2 linked regions of the Lytechinus pictus genome follow. The protein of the gene in region 2 interacts with the protein of the main gene of each other region in a pairwise test. Links are inferred from orthologs where the notes say so. Each region holds a gene or a part of one and is shown on either strand. Other genes may lie near its edges.

The links. The genes of interacting proteins can lie anywhere in the genome.
Region 1: the proteins of DNA replication complex GINS protein SLD5-like (region 2) and DNA replication complex GINS protein PSF1-like interact in a two-hybrid assay, tested with the Drosophila melanogaster proteins (2 studies listed by BioGRID). The link is inferred for Lytechinus pictus from reciprocal best matches to the Drosophila melanogaster genes Sld5 and Psf1.

What each region holds. Positions count from the first base shown.
Region 1 is NC_087251.1:34,119,455-34,129,368, reverse strand, and holds the start of DNA replication complex GINS protein PSF1-like, read right to left. Parts: upstream 4,657-9,914; 5' UTR 4,557-4,656; coding exon 4,482-4,556; exon of another isoform or gene 4,422-4,481; intron 2,848-4,421; coding exon 2,783-2,847; intron 2,367-2,782; coding exon 2,271-2,366; intron 1,885-2,270; coding exon 1,794-1,884; intron 1,385-1,793; coding exon 1,286-1,384; 3' UTR 1-1,285. Other genes in the region: coiled-coil domain-containing protein 97-like, read left to right, coding at 6,822-7,524, 7,886-8,337.
Region 2 is NC_087256.1:9,158,430-9,169,378, forward strand, and holds the start of DNA replication complex GINS protein SLD5-like, read right to left. Parts: upstream 5,066-10,949; coding exon 4,967-5,065; exon of another isoform or gene 4,881-4,966; intron 1-4,880. Other genes in the region: large ribosomal subunit protein bL35m-like, read left to right, coding at 5,195-5,234, 8,025-8,370, 9,331-9,462, 10,211-10,276.

The DNA of each region.
Region 1 (9,914 bases), on a different chromosome or scaffold from region 2:
TTTAGTCGGTGATGGCAAAATTGTCGGTGAAAATGAAATTAGTCGGTGAAAATCACATTTAGTCGGAGAAAACCACCGACTAATTGTTTGATGAAACGCCCCCCGGAAGTAGCATCCTCAGAATACTATTGTAAGGTATACATACTCTCAAATCAGCTTTGCCTCATCTTCGAAATAGAACAAGTGAACATGTAAATGCATGATAGACTAACCTTCAATCACATAACTTCTTAAAATCATTACAACTAGAGTAATGCACCTTGGCACATCGCCTTCCAGGAATCGTTATTTTCAAATATATACATGGGCACAACAACAACAATATCAAGGTTTACTTTGTGTGCAAATTAATTAAACGTATTATCCACTATTTCTAACAGAGAGGGCATTTCCTAATTTATATCACAATAAACAATGTGAAGGGGAAAAAAACCCACTGGATTGGGGGGGGGGGCCTTATAGTAATTCAGATGGTAAATTGCTAATTGATCTGCACCTACTTTCATCTACTTTCTATTTGGTCTCATCCCACACATTATTTTCATAGTTCATCGAATAAACATTTGGTCTGATTGCTAGTTAGGCAATGTACCAATTAGTCTGATAATTCAGTAAGGCAGTTTATCTAATATCCACTTGGTCCAACACTACTCAGTCTATAAAGTTAGATGGATTATTTACGATATATATTTCCTCAGATAATGTAAAAAATAATAATAAGGAGATAAAATGGAAATTAGACCAACTACTAGGCAATAGATCAAAATTAGAATAATTTGGGTTGTAGACCAAACAGCAATTAGACCAAAGTGATAGTGGACCAAATGGGTTTTGCCTATGTGGTATTAGAGACTAACTGAGAATGTAGACAACTGCTTGTTCACCAGGCATAAATATTCACATCTGGACGTTATTTGTGCCTTACTAAAACCCAACAATAGCAACAAGTGAATATAAACCATTCATATCACTCTTCATTTCACAGGCACAGGTAAAGTAAACAAATAATAATGAAACAATTTCAATTCAATTCAGTGTCTCTATTTCCAAATCATTAAAAAAAAACATATTTACAACACATAAGATCATATAAATGCATTTCAAATCCTTAAAAATATACAAATAAATACAGTAGATGACAAATATATTCCATAATTCATTCATGTACAATAAAGTAGATAAGGAAATGGGGGAACTAAAAAAGGCAAAGCTTGTGGGTTAAGAAAATTGCAGCCTAAAATAATGAAAATAAATAATAATTAAAAATAAACGATACTCATAAGTCTCATAACAAACATGTTACCTGTGTGAGATCAAGTCCATCCTGTCCTAATGTTCTCATGTAGGATGCCAATGACTTGTTATACTTTGTAAACCACTGCACCTGTAGAGTAATATAGTCATCATTACATAACAAACTCAGAAAGATACTTTCACATAATTTGAGCTCCTAAAAACAAAGAACCTTAAACTTATTTTCTTGAATATCATCATTACTATTTTAATTTCTATATGCACTGTATGATACGCTTTTCTGAATCTTATCTCCAGAGTAACTCTATCCTTTTAGGCAAATCCTTTGGGGTGTGGGAATAGTCCAAGGAAGCAAGCTTAAAAGATTACATAAAATTTAAAAGGAAATTATTACAGGAATGAAATGAGAAACCTATCATAAAGAAATATCTTATCTACAGAATGTCTCCCTCTATAAACCACTCTGTGTCAACATTCAAATCTATCCTAAAATATAAATCTGATAAATCCTAAGTACACTTTGTTGAATTTATAATTACCTCTTGTTCTGAGAGATTGTATTTGACCTCTGCCGGTAGCACACTTCCAAACTCCCATCTCATATCACGGATCATACACAGTCTGTTGTGCCTAGTAAATGGGAACATCAGTACAGAAACAAATGTTACATTTACACTGGCAATTAACTACCAAATTGAGTGTTTGTAGTATATATTGATAAATTTATAAATTATAGTCAAATATAGCATTGCTTCTGTAATGTCATGTAGTGTCTTGCAAACAAATCCTGTTAGTCACCATACTTGTTAAACAAACTTTTTAACATTCTTGATTCATATTTGGACATTTCAATTCATAATGTTGCAATTAATTTCATATGTGTTTACATTACCAAGGCCTATAGAAAAATGAACAATGAAAGGATGACAGAGTCTTCTATTCCAGCATGAAATAAATTGGGTACTAATTCCAAATCCACATTTTCTCTACTGTATGTTTGAATGAGTGATACTTACAAGTAAGCAAGGAGACATCGCTTGTTTCTTTCAAGACATGTGTGACGAAACTGGACAGCTGGAAGGCGGTCTTTCTCTCCTTGAACTGTCGCCTCTCTGCAACAAACACCAAGGCATAATGAAAGACAGAATCTATACCTACTACTTTTTCTGTCAAATTGAAAACTGTACATTATTTGTTTTATACAACGGGTTAGCACTTAGCAGTATAAATTATTTAAACCCCTCCAAATTTCAAGGGATCGCACAGAGCCAGAGGCCATATCTGCTTTTTATTATGACAAGCATAGCCGGTATGATGCATCCCTGACAAACCACACCAAAATGCACAGGACGGTGGTAATGGGGAAAGGGGGAGTGGAGATCTTACTGAGTACCAATAAAAATCTGAATGCAGACATCAAAAGTTAGGTGACAGATGCTCATGTCATGTGTGTTGAAAATTGAAATCACTTTTATTGTAAAAGAGTCTCATATACATGTTTGTACAAAGCCAGCAAAATAATACTCACACATCGCTTTGGTTTTGATCATAAAGAGCTTTCATTTCTTCAAGAACTTGCCTAACACCTTCTTCCTGCAAAAAGGGGAAAACCATTTAAATTGAACTCAAATTTAGTCTGTTCAATGACAATTATAAAAAAAGATCTAGTACAAATAATTAGGTGAATATCTGATTTAGGAGAGATCAAAACTTATATTGGAAACCCTCTCCTATGGGGAAAGAATAGGAAAATCAAAGAAGGAGGAGAATGATAAGGGGGAGTACATGTAGGAGACCAAGAAGGGGGAGGAGGATAGAAGAGAGGGGAAGGGGAAGAAGAAGAAGAAGGAGGAAGAGGAGAAGAAGAAGAAGAAGAAGAAGGAGAAGAAGGGGAAGGGGGAGGAAGTGAAGGAGGACAAGGAGGAGAAGGAGAAGAAAATGAAGAATATTGAGTCAGTGTCCATTTTATCGTTCAACTGGACTATGTCTTGCTTCATAATAAAATGTGTAAAACTCCTCTAAAGACCAAACTCCAAAAAGATTTCTGTTGTCTAACTTAATATTATAAAGATGCTACACATGTATTGTATTTGTAGATGAACGTCTCCTGGAAAAAAAAACTTTTCCAGCATCACAAAAAAAAAAAGAAAGATGGATGAAAGAAAGGAAAGAAAGAAAGAAAAAGAAAGAAAAAAAAAGAAAGAAAAAAAAAGAAAGAAAAAAAAAAGAAAAAAAAGGAAAGAAAAAAAAATCTGAAAGACTACAACAACGTATAATGCCAAACGCCTTCATAATGATGGAATATTTACTGTGTCTACTTGTTTAGCTACATGGTAAAGTAACATATGAATTTAATTATATCATACATGTATCAAGTCAATGAATCACTCAACAAGTATAGTGAGACCACTACATATCGACCACCTCTTTTGAAACCGACCACCTTGCGCGCATTAAAATTATTGCGTATTACAAACGATACGCGCGGGAGAGTAGGCGCAGTGTCCATAGGAACGGTAAGAATAGATTTTACGAGAGAAAAAGGTAAAAATTTATCAAAATTGTTTTGACTAGACCCGAACCCGCCCCGTTTCCGATAGGAAACGGCTTTAGAACAAATATCCGTCGTCAATCGTCGATTCATGTGCCGGAGCTCGCAGTGGAAGTAGTGAGACGATCATATAGCATGTTGACATCATATCATAGAACTGATTTGGAAGAGTCAAAATATTTCGCCAACGCCACAAGAATCGGCCGTAAACTATTGCGGGTGGTCGGTTTCAAAAGAAGGGTGCAAATTAGACAGGAATAACCATCGTTTCTGGGGATTTATTTAACAATATCTGACATTTTACTATAATTGTGAGTGGAGCCAACGCAGTTCAGTGGAACAACCAAAATACATTACAGAGACTGAAGCTTTTGGTCTAGGTGCAAATTTATGTAAAATCGTCGTATTCGTTGTTCGCTGATATATAATATACGCGGATTGAATCAGAGTCGCCGATCGAAACATGAGAATCTGATCTGCTCAATTTTCTGCACAAATGAAACGGAAACTGGGTAAAACTGATAAATATTTTCGCAGATACGATGCTTAGAAAATTAGGTGGTCGATAAGGGGTAGTTCCAACCATACAGAAAAGGAAGAAACGCAAAAATAAGTTAGTGGGACTGGGATCTACGTCTAACATAAACAGAACCCTCAAAAGGCCGATTATACTCACATTAAAGGGGGCAAGCGACCCATTGACAGCTCTCTGAAGCTCATGGATAAGTTCTATTGCCTTTTCTCCGAACATGATTTCCCGAACTCCTCAGAAAGTTGAATATTCATCTATGATCTAGTTCCAAATTCAAATCAAGGCGCCTTCATGATATTGATATGCAAAATCAGCAGCACAAGCTTTAAGCGCGCCGGTTCGGCGCGGCTGACTAGGCCTAGGGCTAGGCTCGACACTAGCTGGTAAATTTATTTGATGTTCAAGTTTCAACGACGATTTTCCTAGAACACAAAACCGATATCAGCTTGCTGCATTGCCGTTTTTTTATTTTTAATAATCTAGGTCAAGGTGAGTGGATTGGAATTTACTGGTAGATTTACTGGAAAGATATTGAGCTTGAATTTGAATAAGTTCTTCGGCGGTAGGTCTAGTGCGCTTTCGCCTCACCGGTGGGTCAACGAAATAATGTACAACCTTCTCGCTGCTTCACCCCCGCTTCATTGGGGCGCTGGCGTATTGAAACACTGCATTATTTTGGTGGGGTGCGAAAGTGCACTCCCACCTCTCTTTTATTTGTCTAAAAACTCTAACGTTCAATCTAACCTAGGCTCACCTGTTTGGTCGTCATTCCCCGGGGGGGCCACTTACATTGACGAGTGGATACCATGCGCGACCAAAAAAACACGTAAAAAGGATGTCCTTTTCACGATAGGGCACGTTACGTACGTAACGTGATAAGGGTGTCAAAAACACAAAAATAATGAAAAAAGGGTGTCTATTTCGCTAGGAAAATTACGTGTTTAGGGTCGAATTTGCGGGAATGATAAAACAAAATTAAAATGTTTTATAAAGGATGTCCATTTTGCACCAACACTTCGTGTTTAGAGTCCGATTTGCGCGAGGTGTAGAAAGTGGGGTCGTACCAAACCAAATAAGGTAAAGCCGACGACCGAAGGACCCGTAACAATAAAACATTCCTGTACTTGTTTAGGGGTTCATTTCAGGGAATATTTGCCAAGAGTATCGTTTTGTTTCCAATACTTGTTAAGGGTAGGGTTTCACGCGCCAATACTTGTTAAGGGGTGCATTTTCAGAATATGGAAATTACGTGTTTAGGGTGCTTTTCGAGACCCCATGGTCGCGCATGGTATCCACTCGTGAATGGAAGTGGCCCCCCCGGGCGTCATTCTTTACTTAAATAATATCAATGTTTGCTTTGGAATATTGTTTGACTGCTTTGACAAACAATTTATGAGTATTCTTTGGAAATTTTAAATCTGGACACTCATCCAGGTCCAGGAACAAATAAATAAAGGCATGCAATGTCTTATGTTCATGATGTTATAAGATTGAACTTGTAACTTGTGTATCCTAAGTATTAGATCTATTCCTATAACTTATAAGACTAGATCTGTACCCAGGTGTTGTGGGTCGTGTATTCGAACAATAAATTTCAAACAGTCATTTAAAAATTTTGCAAGCAGATAAAAATAAAATTCATTTAGTAGGATGGGGGATCGGGTGTCCGGACACTTTATATTTTTGAAGCCTTCTTTTTTGTCTTTGGATTACACTAAAAATACGAATTCAATAGTTGTAATCATCTTCTATTTTGTTCTCTATAATATTTCCTAACATTTTGTACTAAAAATTGATGAAATTTCGCTTGTAATTTTTTCCAAATGACTTTCTAAAATTGATCGTCCGGACACACAACCTGTCCGGACACACAACAACTGGGTATACAAAGTGTTCTAATTAAAGAGAACATAGGCTGATGATCGAGGATTAGCTGTCTACAATTTTTCAATTCATTGTTTATGTTTCATCTACAGAGAAAAGAGGAGGCTTTAATAATAAGTGTCCGGACACCCAACCCTTATGAATATTTAGTCATAGGCATAGCATAAATCTATGTGCCGATTTATTTATTTGTGATGGAATTTAAATGAATTTGAATGCTGTCAGAGATGCAAAGTTAAAAAAAGACCAGCTTCGGAGCGATACTGTGTAATTTAGGCAGGGATATCTCCAGGCATTATGTGTATTGTAGACTATATTGAGGATAGGCTGTGACACAGTTGTAAGAAGGAGATTTGGAGGGATGAGCAAGAGTTCGTAATGTAGTCTCCTGCTCCTAAATATATGAGACTTGGCTTGTCTGAATTGTATTTGATATCATTGAATATGTGAAAGGTGTTCAGTAAATAAAAAAAAGAATGTATATAAACTATAATTGATGGTCGATGAAACCAAAGTTGATATATTGCTTACATAATTGAGTGATAAATTTGAGTGAGTGAAATAAATGTTTGTGTTTGTATTTTTATATTGAAGGTATGCATGATGATGCAGTCTCCGGTAGATTTACCCAAGCCCAATACGGAAAGCATCCAAGCTCCAGAAAATATAGAATTGATATCTGCTCCACAAATAGACACTACAGACGAACTTTTGAACGCACAGCAACGAATGTTTGAGAACATTGCGCTCAGCAATGCCCACATCAAAAACCTGCAACGAGACGATGTAGACCTGTCATTAAGTGAAAGGGTAAAAATCCTCTCTGAACAGTTCCATCACTCTCCTGCAGTATTCATTGAAAAGTTCCACCCTTACCTGTGTGAAGACGACCTTGTGTGTTTCGAACCTTCCTCCGATGTGTACGAGGTGTCGTTTTATCTCAAGATGACTAAGAGGAGACTTAGTACTGGAAATAACTCTGTGGTAGTGAAAAACCGACGGTATGAAGCACTAAAGAAGCTGGAGAAGGAGGGGACTTATTTCAGCGATGATGAGATGAGAGCGAGGGAGCCTCTGATGTATGAACAGCTCATTGGACAGTACTTGACAGACGAAGAGCGTGCAGAAACCAGAACAAAGGTTGACATGACGGACTTAAAGTTTTCAACAATCCTCATGACATTCATGCAGGACCAGGAAACAAAAGAATTGTATAAGAGACAACAAGATAAAGAAGAAGAGGCAGAAGAAGAAGAAGAAGAAGATGATGATGATGATGACGAGATTGATGGAGATAAAAAAGGTGATCTCTTACTTCCAGATATTGGTAAATTGTAAAGATATTCATTGGCTAGCAAAAACAAAGAAAATCATGCTAATACTTGATGAATGTATCAATATTAAGATAATCACTTTGTTCTTCATATGTTTCTTCAGTATTAATTGGTAATTTATGTAATTTGTTGATTGTCAAATGTGTTTCATTTCTGTGGAGCTGCAGCAAATATCAAATCATGACCATCTTAAGAACTATCATGTTCAAAATGAACAAGTCCTAATTGAACATAAGTAATCTGGTTTTGTTTTCCTTCACTTATAAAGATATAATAATACTTTTATACTAAGTTTGAATTGAAACACTCATTTATCTTTATTATGTTCAGGTCAGTCCACCGCCCTGGCTCAACCCTCACAAAATTCTGTCGGGAAAGAAGATGATGAGGATGAAGAAGAGGATGACGAAATGATGGATGATGAGGATCAAGATGGTGCAGTCTTTAGCCCTCGTCAGCCAACTCCTGCCACAGAAGCAGAGAAGCATCTCTTGAGAGAAGAGTTCCAGAACCTAATGAGAGAGAGGTTCCTCAGTGGAGGCGATCAAGACTTTGATTACGCAGCAGTTGATAACAATGAGGAGTACGATTCCCTCGCGATCCGTGCGTGGGACGAGGAAGAGAAATACTTTGATGATGAGGACGCAGCCGATGCTGATGAAGGACACAGAATAGAAGAACAAGGAAATTCAGGTAGAAGTGATAGGTTCGCATCAAGGACAGACAATGAGGAATTGGATGATTACGAAAAGTGGACACCAGAGGAATCATCTATGGAATAGTAGCATGCTGATGTAGCTATTGGAAAAAAATGGGACCAACACATATCAAATCAAGTATTTTCTTGCCTCTACTGCAAGAACTAAGAAATCATTTGAGAGGTTAACTTGGTTCATCTTGGAGGGATAATGTAATTTCTTAATGATCAAATCAGCTTTTATTTTGGAGAGGGGGGGATCATGAGGTGAAGTCAAAGGATACTGACGTATGTATTAAGTTGCCTTGTTCTCCTCAGAAGGGGAGAGCTGTTTCGGGGGTCAACTGCAATTTGGGTTCATCATGCATATTGGAGGGACAATGATCTCTTAGCATTTGGAGGTTAAAATGAGCAGTACTTTCGTATTTATTTTGTTTATACCCTGTACATGTACTTATAGTGGCTTGCCCATTTTACTCCTTGTAAAATGTGCATGTTACACCATACATAAAACCTAACCTCAAAAACTAAATAAACCCTGATCATTATCTTAACATTATTCCGGACCAAAACTCTATTGCAATCCTAACTTTTAAACCTATGCCCTCTAAGATATTAAGACTGAAACAAATGTTGCAGGAGCATATGTTGTGTCAACTGGAAGGGGGGGGGGGGGCTCATGATTGAACTTATGAAACATGGAATGGCTTCCAGTCCTGTCAGTCCCTTGAAAAAGAATTGTGTATATATACATGTATATATCATGACATATTTTAATAAAATAGCTCATTTAATGACATTATGCTCACTTTGTTATGTATGATCAGTTTTATTTTTTAAGCTAATTCATTTGTGCACTGAACTGGTCTTTAACCCTAAAAGGCCTGGGGGGCAGAATTCGCCCCCTCTACATTTTTCACGATAAATCCGCCGCTGGAAATTTTTCAACTGCGCCACTCGCTGACTTATTACTTTCAAATCTCGCGCAACTTTTGAGATCAAATTTACGATGCCCGGGTACGCGATTACGAAATCACGTAACATTATGTAAGTGCATGTCGGACCCAAAACTGCTCAAAAATGTGAATTCATGTACAAATCCAAAGCAAATTGTGTATTTAGCCAAAATTCATAAATGTATCATTATTTCTACTTTGACTGATTAAATTTAATTAATTTTGTCTTATGATCAAAATTAAGTCTGCAACAATTTCCATCGAAAAAACAATAAAAACAAAAAGTAAAAAAACAAAGAAATACATAAGAAATTTAAAAAAAACAATAAAATACATAAGAAAAAAATTGCAATACCAAATTTTTTTTTAGTACATTTGATCGGGATCCTACAAAGAGTCTGTGAATAAAAAATTAGCAGTTTTGAGGCAGTATAATAGTTGATTAGAGCAAATATTTCATTTCATGAATATATTAGCATAATCAATTCATTAAATGAAGAATCTTATTATTAAAAAAAAATAAACCACACAACCTTGTAGACTATATCGCACACTACCACTGTGCAAATTTTCGCGGCGCTCGCGCAATCGAAGGCCGAGATCTCAGGGGGGGGCAGAATCCGCCCCTCCCCGGCTGTGAGATGGGTCCAAATAACCCGGCTCTTTAGGGTTAATCTTGGTTTATTGAAAGTTTGTTAGGCCTTAA
Region 2 (10,949 bases):
TACTGGCCCAGTTTAATTTGACCAGTAAAATTATTACTGGTCCAGCAAAAATTGTACTGGTCCAGTTTAATTTGACCAGTAAAATTATTACTGGTCCAGCAAAAAATGTACTGGTCCAGTATAATTTGACCAGTAAAATTACTGGTCCACCACAATTTGTACTGGTCCAGTTCAATTGGACCAGTAAAATTATTACTGGTCCAGTTAGTTTTACCAGTATATTTGTTACTGGTCCAGTTAAAATTATACTGGTCCAGTTAAATTTGACCATCAAAAAATTACTGGTCCAGCTTATAGCAGACCAGTATATTTTGTTCCAATTTCCAGAGTTACCAATTAAATTTTACTGGTGTAACTGGTCCAGCCGTACTGGTTTTTCCTTCTGGGATTGCCTCTCTTTTCGTTTCCACTCATGTTTCTTAAAACGATGACTTTGTGAATGCACCAAAGTGCAATAGTCAGAAGTAAAACTAATTTTTCGTCTACTTCATGTTTAAACAAAATTTTAATGATTGATTTCTAAATCTTTATGAAATATTTGCTGGATTATTTTTTTCGAAAATTCAAAGAATGGTTTGTTCAAATCACAAGAAATGAAAGTGTGATTAATATCTTCCTCTACTTCACAACGAGAACAGATGTTATCATTCACCAAACCCCTAATTGTTAATTGTTAGTTGTTAAATAGGGTGAATTTGCTGTACTTTATTCAAATCATTATAATTGTGTGTTAGATAGGATATTAAATCATCAATTCTAACAGAAAAGGATTTATCTGCTTGTTGCATAAAATAAAATGGTTTGAATTGATTACAAGCTCTCAAATTCCTAATTACAAATTGGGTCATTCTTGGTTGACAAAAAATTTTAGTATGAAAGAATATTCATTGCTAAAAAAATAATTTATTGAAATGAAAAAGTAAAGTAAATATACAGCTTTGTACGTGACATTTGCGACCAAAATCTGAAAACTATGGCAAAAATAATCTGCTGATTGGCAAGAAGTCTTATAACCATACACTTCATTTCCTACCACTTAGCGCAATCCTATATTTGAACCCCCGACAAAACCATCTCGTGTGCACTCAAGCATGAACAAATTAAAAAAAAAAACATTTTGATTTTGATCGATAAGATTTCAGAGCATCTATGAACATCAAAATATAGACATCATAATTCAAAAGGGTATTTTGATAGACGTTTCATAACTGTCCCGTTTTTATTGATACGCACTGTAAAATTGAATAAAAAGGGTCACCCCCTTCAAAAATACGATAGCTCTCTTCATTTATCAGGAACTTTTTTTTTACATACTCCTCAATATTCTTAAAACTGGAGTATATAGGAGTGTGGGCTACTAAAACTTAAGTACTAGCCCTTTCTTTTTGTTTACAAATTGAGATATATTAACCCCCCCCCCTCCACAAACCCAAAATATATTTCAGGAGCAATCTTCCAATTGTATTTTATAAAGAGGACTTTTAGTTCAAATTTACTCCTCAATATATATAAAAACGTGGAATATATAGGAATGTATATGAGTGTGGGCTACAAAAACTAAGGCACTAGCCCGTTGTTTTTCTTTACAAATTGAAAGAAGGGAAACCCCCCTACACACACCCAAAATATATTTCAGGAGCAATCTTCCAATTGTATTTTATAAAGAGGACTTTTAGTTGAAATTTACTCCTCAATATACGAAAAAACATAGAGTATATAGGGGTGTGGGCTACTAAAACTAAAGCACTAGCCCGTTGTTTTTCTTTACAAATTGAAAAAGAGGAAAACCCCCCAGCACACACCCAAAATATATATCAGGAGCAATCTTCCAATTGTATTTTATAAAGAGGACTTTTAGTTGAAATTTACTCCTCAATATACGAAAAAACAGAGTATATAGGGGTGTGGGCTACTAAAACTAAAGCACTAGCCCGTTGTTTTTCTTTAAAAATTGAAAGAAGGGAAACCCCCCTCCACACACCCAAAATATATTTCAGGAGCAATCTTCCAATTGTATTTTATAAAGAGGACTTTTAGTTGAAATTTACTCCTCAATATACGAAAAAACATAGAGTATATAGGGGTGTGGGCTACTAAAACTAAAGCACTAGCCATTTGTTTTTCTTTACAAATTGAAAGAAGGGAAACCCCCCTACACACACCCAAAATATATTTCAGGAGCAATCTTCCAATTGTATTTTATAAAGAGGACTTTTAGTTGAAATGTACTCCTCAATATAAGAAAAAACATAGAGTATATAGGGGTGTGGGCTACTAAAACTAAAGCACTAGCCATTTGTTTTTCTTTACAAATTGAAAGAAGGGAAACCCCCCTACACACACCCAAAATATATTTCAGGAGCAATCTTCCAATTGTATTTTATAAAGAGGACTTTTTGTTGAAATTTACTCCTCAATATACGAAAAAACATAGAGTATATAGGGGTGTGGGCTACTAAAACTAAAGCACTAGCCCGTTGTTTTTCTTTACAAATTGAAAAAGAGGAAAACCCCCCAGCACACACCCAAAATATATTTCAGGAGCAATCTTCCAATTGTATTTTATAAAGAGGACTTTTAGTTGAAATTTACTCCTCAATATACGAAAAAACATAGAGTATATAGGGGTGTGGGCTACTAAAACTAAAGCACTAGCCCGTTGTTTTTCTTTACAAATTGAAAAAGAGGAAAACCCCCCAGCACACACCCAAAATATATATCAGGAGCAATCTTCCAATTGTATTTTATAAAGAGGACTTTTAGTTGAAATTTACTCCTCAATATACGAAAAAACATAGAGTATATAGGGGTGTGGGCTACTAAAACTAAAGCACTAGCCCGTTGTTTTTCTTTAAAAATTGAAAGAAGGGAAACCCCCCTCCACACACCCAAAATATATTTCAGGAGCAATCTTCCAATTGTATTTTATAAAGAGGACTTTTAGTTGAAATTTACTCCTCAATATACGAAAAAACATAGAGTATATAGGGGTGTGGGCTACTAAAACTAAAGCACTAGCCATTTGTTTTTCTTTACAAATTGAAAGAAGGGAAACCCCCCTACACACACCCAAAATATATTTCAGGAGCAATCTTCCAATTGTATTTTATAAAGAGGACTTTTTGTTGAAATTTACTCCTCAATATACGAAAAAACATAGAGTATATAGGGGTGTGGGCTACTAAAACTAAAGCACTAGCCCGTTGTTTTTCTTTACAAATTGAAAAAGAGGAAAACCCCCCAGCACACACCCAAAATATATTTCAGGAGCAATCTTCCAATTGTATTTTATAAAGAGGACTTTTAGTTGAAATTTACTCCTCAATATACGAAAAAACATAGAGTATATAGGGGTGTGGGCTACTAAAACTAAAGCACTAGCCCGTTGTTTTTCTTTACAAACTGAAAGAAAGGAAACCCCCCAGCACACACCCAAAATATATTTCAGGAGCAATCTTCCAATTGTATTTTATAAAGAGGACTTTTAGTTGAAATGTACTCCTCAATATACGAAAAAACATAGAGTATATAGGGGTGTGGGCTACTAAAACTAAAGCACTAGTCCGTTGTTTTTCTTTACAAATTGAAAGAAGGGAAACCCCCCTCCACACACCCAAAATATATTTCAGGAGCAATCTTCCAATTGTATTTTATAAAGAGGACTTTTAGTTGAAATTTACTCCTCAATATACGAAAAAAACATAAAGTATATAGGGGTGTGGGCTACTAAAACTAAAGCACTAGCCATTTGTTTTTCTTTACAAATTGAAAGAAGGGAAACCCCCCTACACACACCCAAAATATATTTCAGGAGCAATCTTCCAATTGTATTTTATAAAGAGGACTTTTAGTTGAAATGTACTCCTCAATATACGAAAAAACATAGAGTATATAGGGGTGTGGGGTTCTAAAACTAAAGCACTAGCCCGTTGTTTTTCTTTACAAATTGAAAAAGAGGAAAACCCCCCTACACACACCCAAAATATATTTTAGGAGCAATCTTCCAATTGTATTTTATAAAGAGGACTTTTAGTTGAAATTTACTCCTCAATATACGAAAAACATAGAGTATATAGGGGTGTGGGCTACTAAAACTAAAGCACTAGCCCGTTGTTTTTCTTTACAAATTGAAAGAAGGGAAACCCCCCTACACACACCCAAAATATATTTCAGGAGCAATCTTCCAATTGTATTTTATAAAGAGGACTTTTAGTTGAAATTTACTCCTCAATATACGAAAAAACATAGAGTATATAGGGGTGTGGGCTACTAAAACTAAAGCACTAGCCCGTTGTTTTTCTTTACAAATTGAAAGAAGGGAAACCCCCCTCCACACACCCAAAATATATTTCAGGAGCAATCTTCCAATTGGCCCTTATCAGGAAGACATTCATTCTAATTTACTCTTCAATATACAAAGAAACATCCTATATTATATAGGGGTGCGGGCTACCTAATAACCAGAAAATCGTGGTTTTTTTCTTCTTTTTTTTCTTCTTCTTTTCATTATTATTTTTTATTTTTTTTTTTTGGGGGGGGCTTTTGTTTGGCTTTTTCCGGCTCGCTCGCTTCGTTTCTTGCATTAAACAATGCCATTTTCAAGGTAGGAAATGTCCCTTTTCTTCTGTGCCCCCCACTTCCAACTTCGCTCCGCCGCCCCTGAACAGGAGTGCTACTAAGACATGGGAACTAGCCCCTTGTTTGTTTAAACAAATTGAAAGAAGGGTAACCCCACCGTTTGTTTGATTTGTCCTAGAATGCGTGCTATTCTGCGCACGCAAAATCCTGTATCTGATTTATCTTAGATAGCTAATATTGTTGGCTGGAACTGTTGGCTGGCTTGCTGTTGGCTAGCTTATTGTTGGCTGACTCTACTCCAGCTTGGCAGACAGACAGACCAGACCGCGGCCGCCACACAATTCACAACTTGAAAAAAACAAAAAACAATTAGTTAAATGTACGGTACCTCCTCCAACTTTTGAAGAACATCTGCAGCAGTCATCTCTACCTCCTCTTCATCACTAGAGAATTCATTTTCTAAGCTTTCGTCAATTTCTTCAGACATTTTGGTAGTTTTATTTGACTTCTTGGTCTTGGTTTCGTTTGTGTTGCGTTGTCTCAACTTTCGCGCGAATCTTTGCCCAAAGTGCAAGTGACCGTCAGAGGGCGCCTAGGCAGCTCGCAGTCTAAAAAGATGGCAGCTTCCATGAGAAGAATTTTTGGTAAAAGTTTAGGTAAAATGAAATTAAATCTTCACATTTTGCTAATATTTTATTTTTGACAGCGTTTTTCGATTTGATCTATAGTTGAGTTGATATTTTTTAACTTGTTGAATATGGTGGAAGTTTGAATATATTGGTTGATTAAGGGTCTGTGACTGTGTTGTACTGTTCAGCGCACAGCGACTGTTTTCGGCATTTTAATTCTTGTGCTATTTAAATTATTGCAACACGGAATTGTGATTTTTGTACTTGACTTGTGTGTGTAAGAATCGCACGTGCCCATGATAGTAATGTCTGAATGCACATTAGAGGCGCACGGCCAATGTGTGACTTTGCCTTTGGCCTTTGGGAGACTGTCTCCCATGAGTCTGAGAGAGATTATCTCCTATACTCTATATCAGTTCAGAGACTTTAGTTTTGTAAAGAATGGGTATCCTATTTCAGAGACAGTCTCCAATTTGAGAGACCAATTAATTTACATTTATTTTGGCTTGGCCTTTGCCAAAGGCAAAGCCCAAACTGAAACTTTGCTGCAAAAGGATTACATTGTCCTTGACCTTGGCGGCAAATAAAAATGTGATAAGCAGATTCCTCATGAAAAATTAACCCCTTTTTCACTGCTTACTTAAAGAATTCACACTCACAGTCTACTTTGTTTTGAGAAGGATTTTTGTTGTCATCCACACACAAAATTTCAAAACAAATGGGCTTCTGGCCTCAGACTCAGTGAGACAAAATTTTGGGTGGAAAAAATTATGCTTTTGTTGGCGTTGTTTCTTTGGCAAGACTTCCATATGTCCCCTCCACTAAAATTGAAAAAAAAAAAGAAATATGGAGAAGGTTTATCAAGAATTATCTAACATATATCTAAGAGATTTAAGAAGGAAAAGTTGGATACATACCAAAGTATGGCTTTATTCCGTCAGAATTTTGAGTGTGTAATTCCCAATGGCATTGGTTTATTTAGTCAGAAAAATAAATACCCAATACTCTTGGAGAGTAGACTAGTCGTAATATCGGTTGATAACCACTATGAAACCCATGGCTTTCAACAATTCCTGCTAGCTCAGTGAGTAAGGCGATAGACTGGAGATGCTCGTTCTGCAGCGAGAGGTTCGAATCCAAGTTCCAACCGGAAGTAAGAAGAAAAAAAAAAAGAAGAAAAAGAGAACGAAAGAAGGGGGTTTTGGAGAAGTATTTTTTTTAATTAGTGGAGGGGACATAAGGAAGTCTTTCCGTTTCTTTTGTTCTTTTGCAAAGCAAGTCTCCAATATGGGAGACAATCTTCCATATTGGAGACTTGCTTTGCAAAAGAAAGAAAAGTCTCCCATATTGGCCGTGCGCCTCTACTGATGCATGTACCATTTCCAGCGTGTGCATTTTCTTATTACAGCGGGTGTCGTGGTGATCATGCTAAGTCCTTATTCTTGCCTGTTCTGGCTTATACAGCTGCAGCCATCTATTTCGAGGAGTTTTTAAACATTTTAAAAATGTTCTTATTTCTCCTCGTACACAGACAGCACTAGAGGCGCCGCTGGTCCAAAAATTGGGATTGTCCCAGTCCCAGAAAACAAGGATATCCTCATAAACCAAGACAAATCATGTCTTGATAAATTGAGATTGTCCTTGTTTATGGGGACAGTTTTTTATTTTCACTTAACCCTTCAGGACATAGACGGCAATTACGGAGATTAAGAGTGCTAAAAATAGATTCAGTGACCTCAATTCCCCCCAGTTTACCATCTATTTTTCACGACTTGTTGTCTTCCAATAATCTTGTTATGAAACCTGATATGTTTACATTGACTAGCGCACTTGATTGATTTTGGCACTTGACAGGTGAATGAACTTTCCTAGATTTCTTGTGTGGAGAAATCTTTGAAAACTGAGACAGTTCCTGTAAACTGGGACGATCCCAGCACCCCTACTGTAAATCTGAGCAGAAATTGGAAAATAATTATTTTATAATTTTGTTCAATATCTGCCCAGATTTACTTTCCAATATCTAATTATTAAATCAATTGATCCAATTCCCTTAATTTCAGCTGGAACTTGCATCAAGAACATAATTGATCTCTACATTTATCCTAGTCTCAGAAGGTCCATGGTCAGATCTGGCCTGGTCAGACTTGTCTCATGTGACGCATGTGACATTACAAAATCTTATTTTTTAAAATATCATAATCAGTATCACATTTTTTATTTGTTTTCTACATTTATTATAAATAAACAGCCAAAATCAACCCAAGTTAGATAAAGCAAACCAATAAAAATGAATTTTTTGAAAAGAAAAAGAAAATTAGTAATTATTGCATAATGTTGCCTCATGAAATCATGTTTCATTATGATGCTAGCATATATTTTACAAATTAGACAGTCTAATTTGTGATATTATATATATTTATACATGTACATTTTGAGGTCAAATTTAGACCTCAAATAAAGAATGATAAGAAAAATGTCATAAAACTCATGCCACCAACTAGGGTCTTGATTTGGCTGCAAGTTTTCAACATACTTGAAAGCATTTTCTACATAAATATGACAGGAGTAGGCCTACTTTTCTGGCAGTCATTCAAGCAGTAAGCAGAAAAAAATGAGACCTCCATTTGAATTATATTTTTTTGTTTTGTGGGTTTTGAAAAGTATGTCATTGCAATTGATTTTATAAAACATTGTTGATAGTAATTAATTACTTTTGCCATTGACTCAATCCAGGTTAAAGAATTAGAATCATGTGATTCTTTTCAAACATATGTTTTTTGTGTGTACACACACTTATATTTTTATTTTATCCTACAGTTCCACAAATTCAGCAGAAACTGTTGTCACCAGCTTCTACTCCATGGCGTACTGGATGTATCAATCAGAAGAGCATTCAACATGGAGTGGTATCACCACTGACCACTCCCATTAGGGGTGTAACCCTTGCATCCCTGAGGGGTATTGCTTCTGCACCCCTCCACCAGTCCACTGCTATTCAGGAGGATCACTGGAGGAGCTCTGAACTCTCTCAAGTTTGCTCCAGGCTGACTGGGCTAAATCTCCAGGCTCCAGCTCCTAATGTTGCTAGAGGTCAGATCCAGGGAAGGTCCTTCTCAAGCTTGATATGTAGCAGGTACACCGGGGGATTTAGCTACAACGAAATGTAAGTTTTTATCAAATTTTGTGAATACTTTAAGCGTACTTCCAAGTGGGATATGAAGCTACAATATTATAATGAGGCATGAATTATTGGGAACTATTATTGATATGGCATGCACCTGTAAGCCAAGCTACATGGTGAAGTTAAAATTGATGCAGAGGTTCGAGGCTTGAGCCCTAATCACGTCTTTCAGATGGTGATGTTAAAGGTTGGTTCCATACGTAATTAATTATATCTAATTGATACAGGTCTGTAAAAACTCAAACGTATACACACACATACATGTAGTCAAAGAAGTTAGATTTTACTGTTTATAATCCTTTCCTTGGATGCTGAAGTTATGATAACCATTTCTCCCTGTCTGAAACTCTAAAATACTAGCTTTTGCACCTTTACAATATGAGGTATGATTCATTGAAATTTTTATGCCACAATATTTCAATAATGTCATTTCATGTAACTGTAGCTACAGCAAAAATAGATTTTATTGAGAGGGAAATTATGTCCATTAGGTTGATTGGAATAAAGAAGTAAAATAAAACAACATAATTGTTACTATGATTGAAATCAGATAAATTATCTTTATCAGATAAAGATTCATAAATTTGGAGTTATACATGTAAAGATTGTTCTATAAAGCAGTGATATTTATTCATATTCACAGGCTACAATACATGTATGTATTGGAGATTTTATCAACATAAAAATATTGCTTGACTCCTCATGCAATATTCAAGAATTAGTGTAATTTGCTTTGTTGTAAAGGAGAGCAATACAATATTGCTTATCCATATCTCAGAAAAAAAGGGAGAAGCTTGTGTTTTATGTTTGGCAATAATATTCTTTTAGGGATATCTGTGTTGATGAAACATCATTGATGCTTTGGTCCTTTAAATCAGATTAGCTATGAAGGGTTTTGCCTTACTTTGTTTTTTCTTTACTTTCTTTCTTTCTTTCCGGCAGTATAAACCAGAAATTTGTGAAACCTCAAGTATTTAACCATCAACCCAATAGGACAGTGATACGATTCAGTAAAAACAAAGGCAAGAAGAAGACAGTTCATGCAGTGATTGATAGATTCTATAGACTTGACAAGTAGGTCAATTTTCTTTAATATTGTCCATAGCTTGACAAGTTACCATCTGCTATTAAAAGCTTCTATAACACTGTAAAAGATGACAAATTAAAGGGGGGGGGGGGAGTGGCTGTAAAATCTCGGCTGTTGACTGCATGATTTCAATGGAAATTGGCATGCATGTTGCTTGTGACATAATTGCCGAGATTGAATTTTGATTTTTACCCTATTTATACGTATAATAATTTTTCATGAATGCAAAAAAGATTAGTGGTCAGATTAGATCAATATTAAAAAAATTCTTATCTAGTTGCGTTAAAAGATTTGGTTATTGGCAGAGGCATACGTTTCAACTACACATCGTTGAGAATCCATCTTGTTTGAAAAAGGTCAGTTAGAGAGCTGGAAGAGGGGATTTATATTGTTGCTTTACCGATGTTTATAAGGTTATTGTTAGAAATATTTATCATTTTGGGTTGAAGAAAAGAGAAAAATCTGTTATTATTTCAGTGGCCCGACCATGGAGTAGCGTGTATGCAATGCTTTGCTACCGAAGGGAAAAGGCACTGTATCATTATCAAATGACTATTGGACTGGATTAGATTATTAAAACATTGGAGGAGTGTACGTTTCTATGTCGAGATCTACAAGAAAACGGGGGAAAATTGAATTAAAGATGAAATGTTGGAGTCACGGGAAGAGAACACAGGGTTGGAATTATGGAAAGTTACCTCTGAATTTGATTATTTGCAAAATTTTATTTTTCAGTGGTTTGTGGGTGAGGACGCAAGCAGGCAGGGCTAAGAAGCTTTGGAAGAAATCACCTCGACGCAGGTAAGTTATCTCAAAGTTTTTTGTTGTTTGCAGGATATTATCAAAGCCTTTCATTCTCTTGGCAACCAGTTCCTAACAATGTCAAGTCGCCCTTATATCTGTGATTGCAGTGGTTGCCAACGATATAAGTCCCCAGCTCTAACACAATGATATGGCTTGCGCAAGGATTTCTTGTTTAGAAACCATCTCTATAATTCAACAATAGACTGCAATAACCTCACTTTGGTACTCCTTTATACTCCCTGAAAAAATTGCATTAAATCAGGATGAAGGAGAATGAAAAGGAAACTTGTATGCCCCTAAGCAATAGCAGAGTAATGGAATTTTCTTGGTATAATAGAGTAATAAAATTTGAATGTAAATCCTTAAAAAAAAGCTTTAAAAATGCTAAATTGCGGTCTCAACACTCATTTTATCAAAGAACATTAAAAAATGTAGTATAAAAAATATGCAATTTATATATTATCTATTTATTTGTATTTTCATGTACATAAGATATTTGTTATTCATATTTCTTTGTTTATCGACTTATTCATTCATTTATTTCTTGATGGAAATATTTGGCGACACTATTCTGATTATAAAGAGCTATTTTTGTTGGTTTCACCCATTAAATTTACCCCCAAGCTTATTAATTTTTTTTTTTTTTACTGTTCTTGTGTTTTGTATTCTC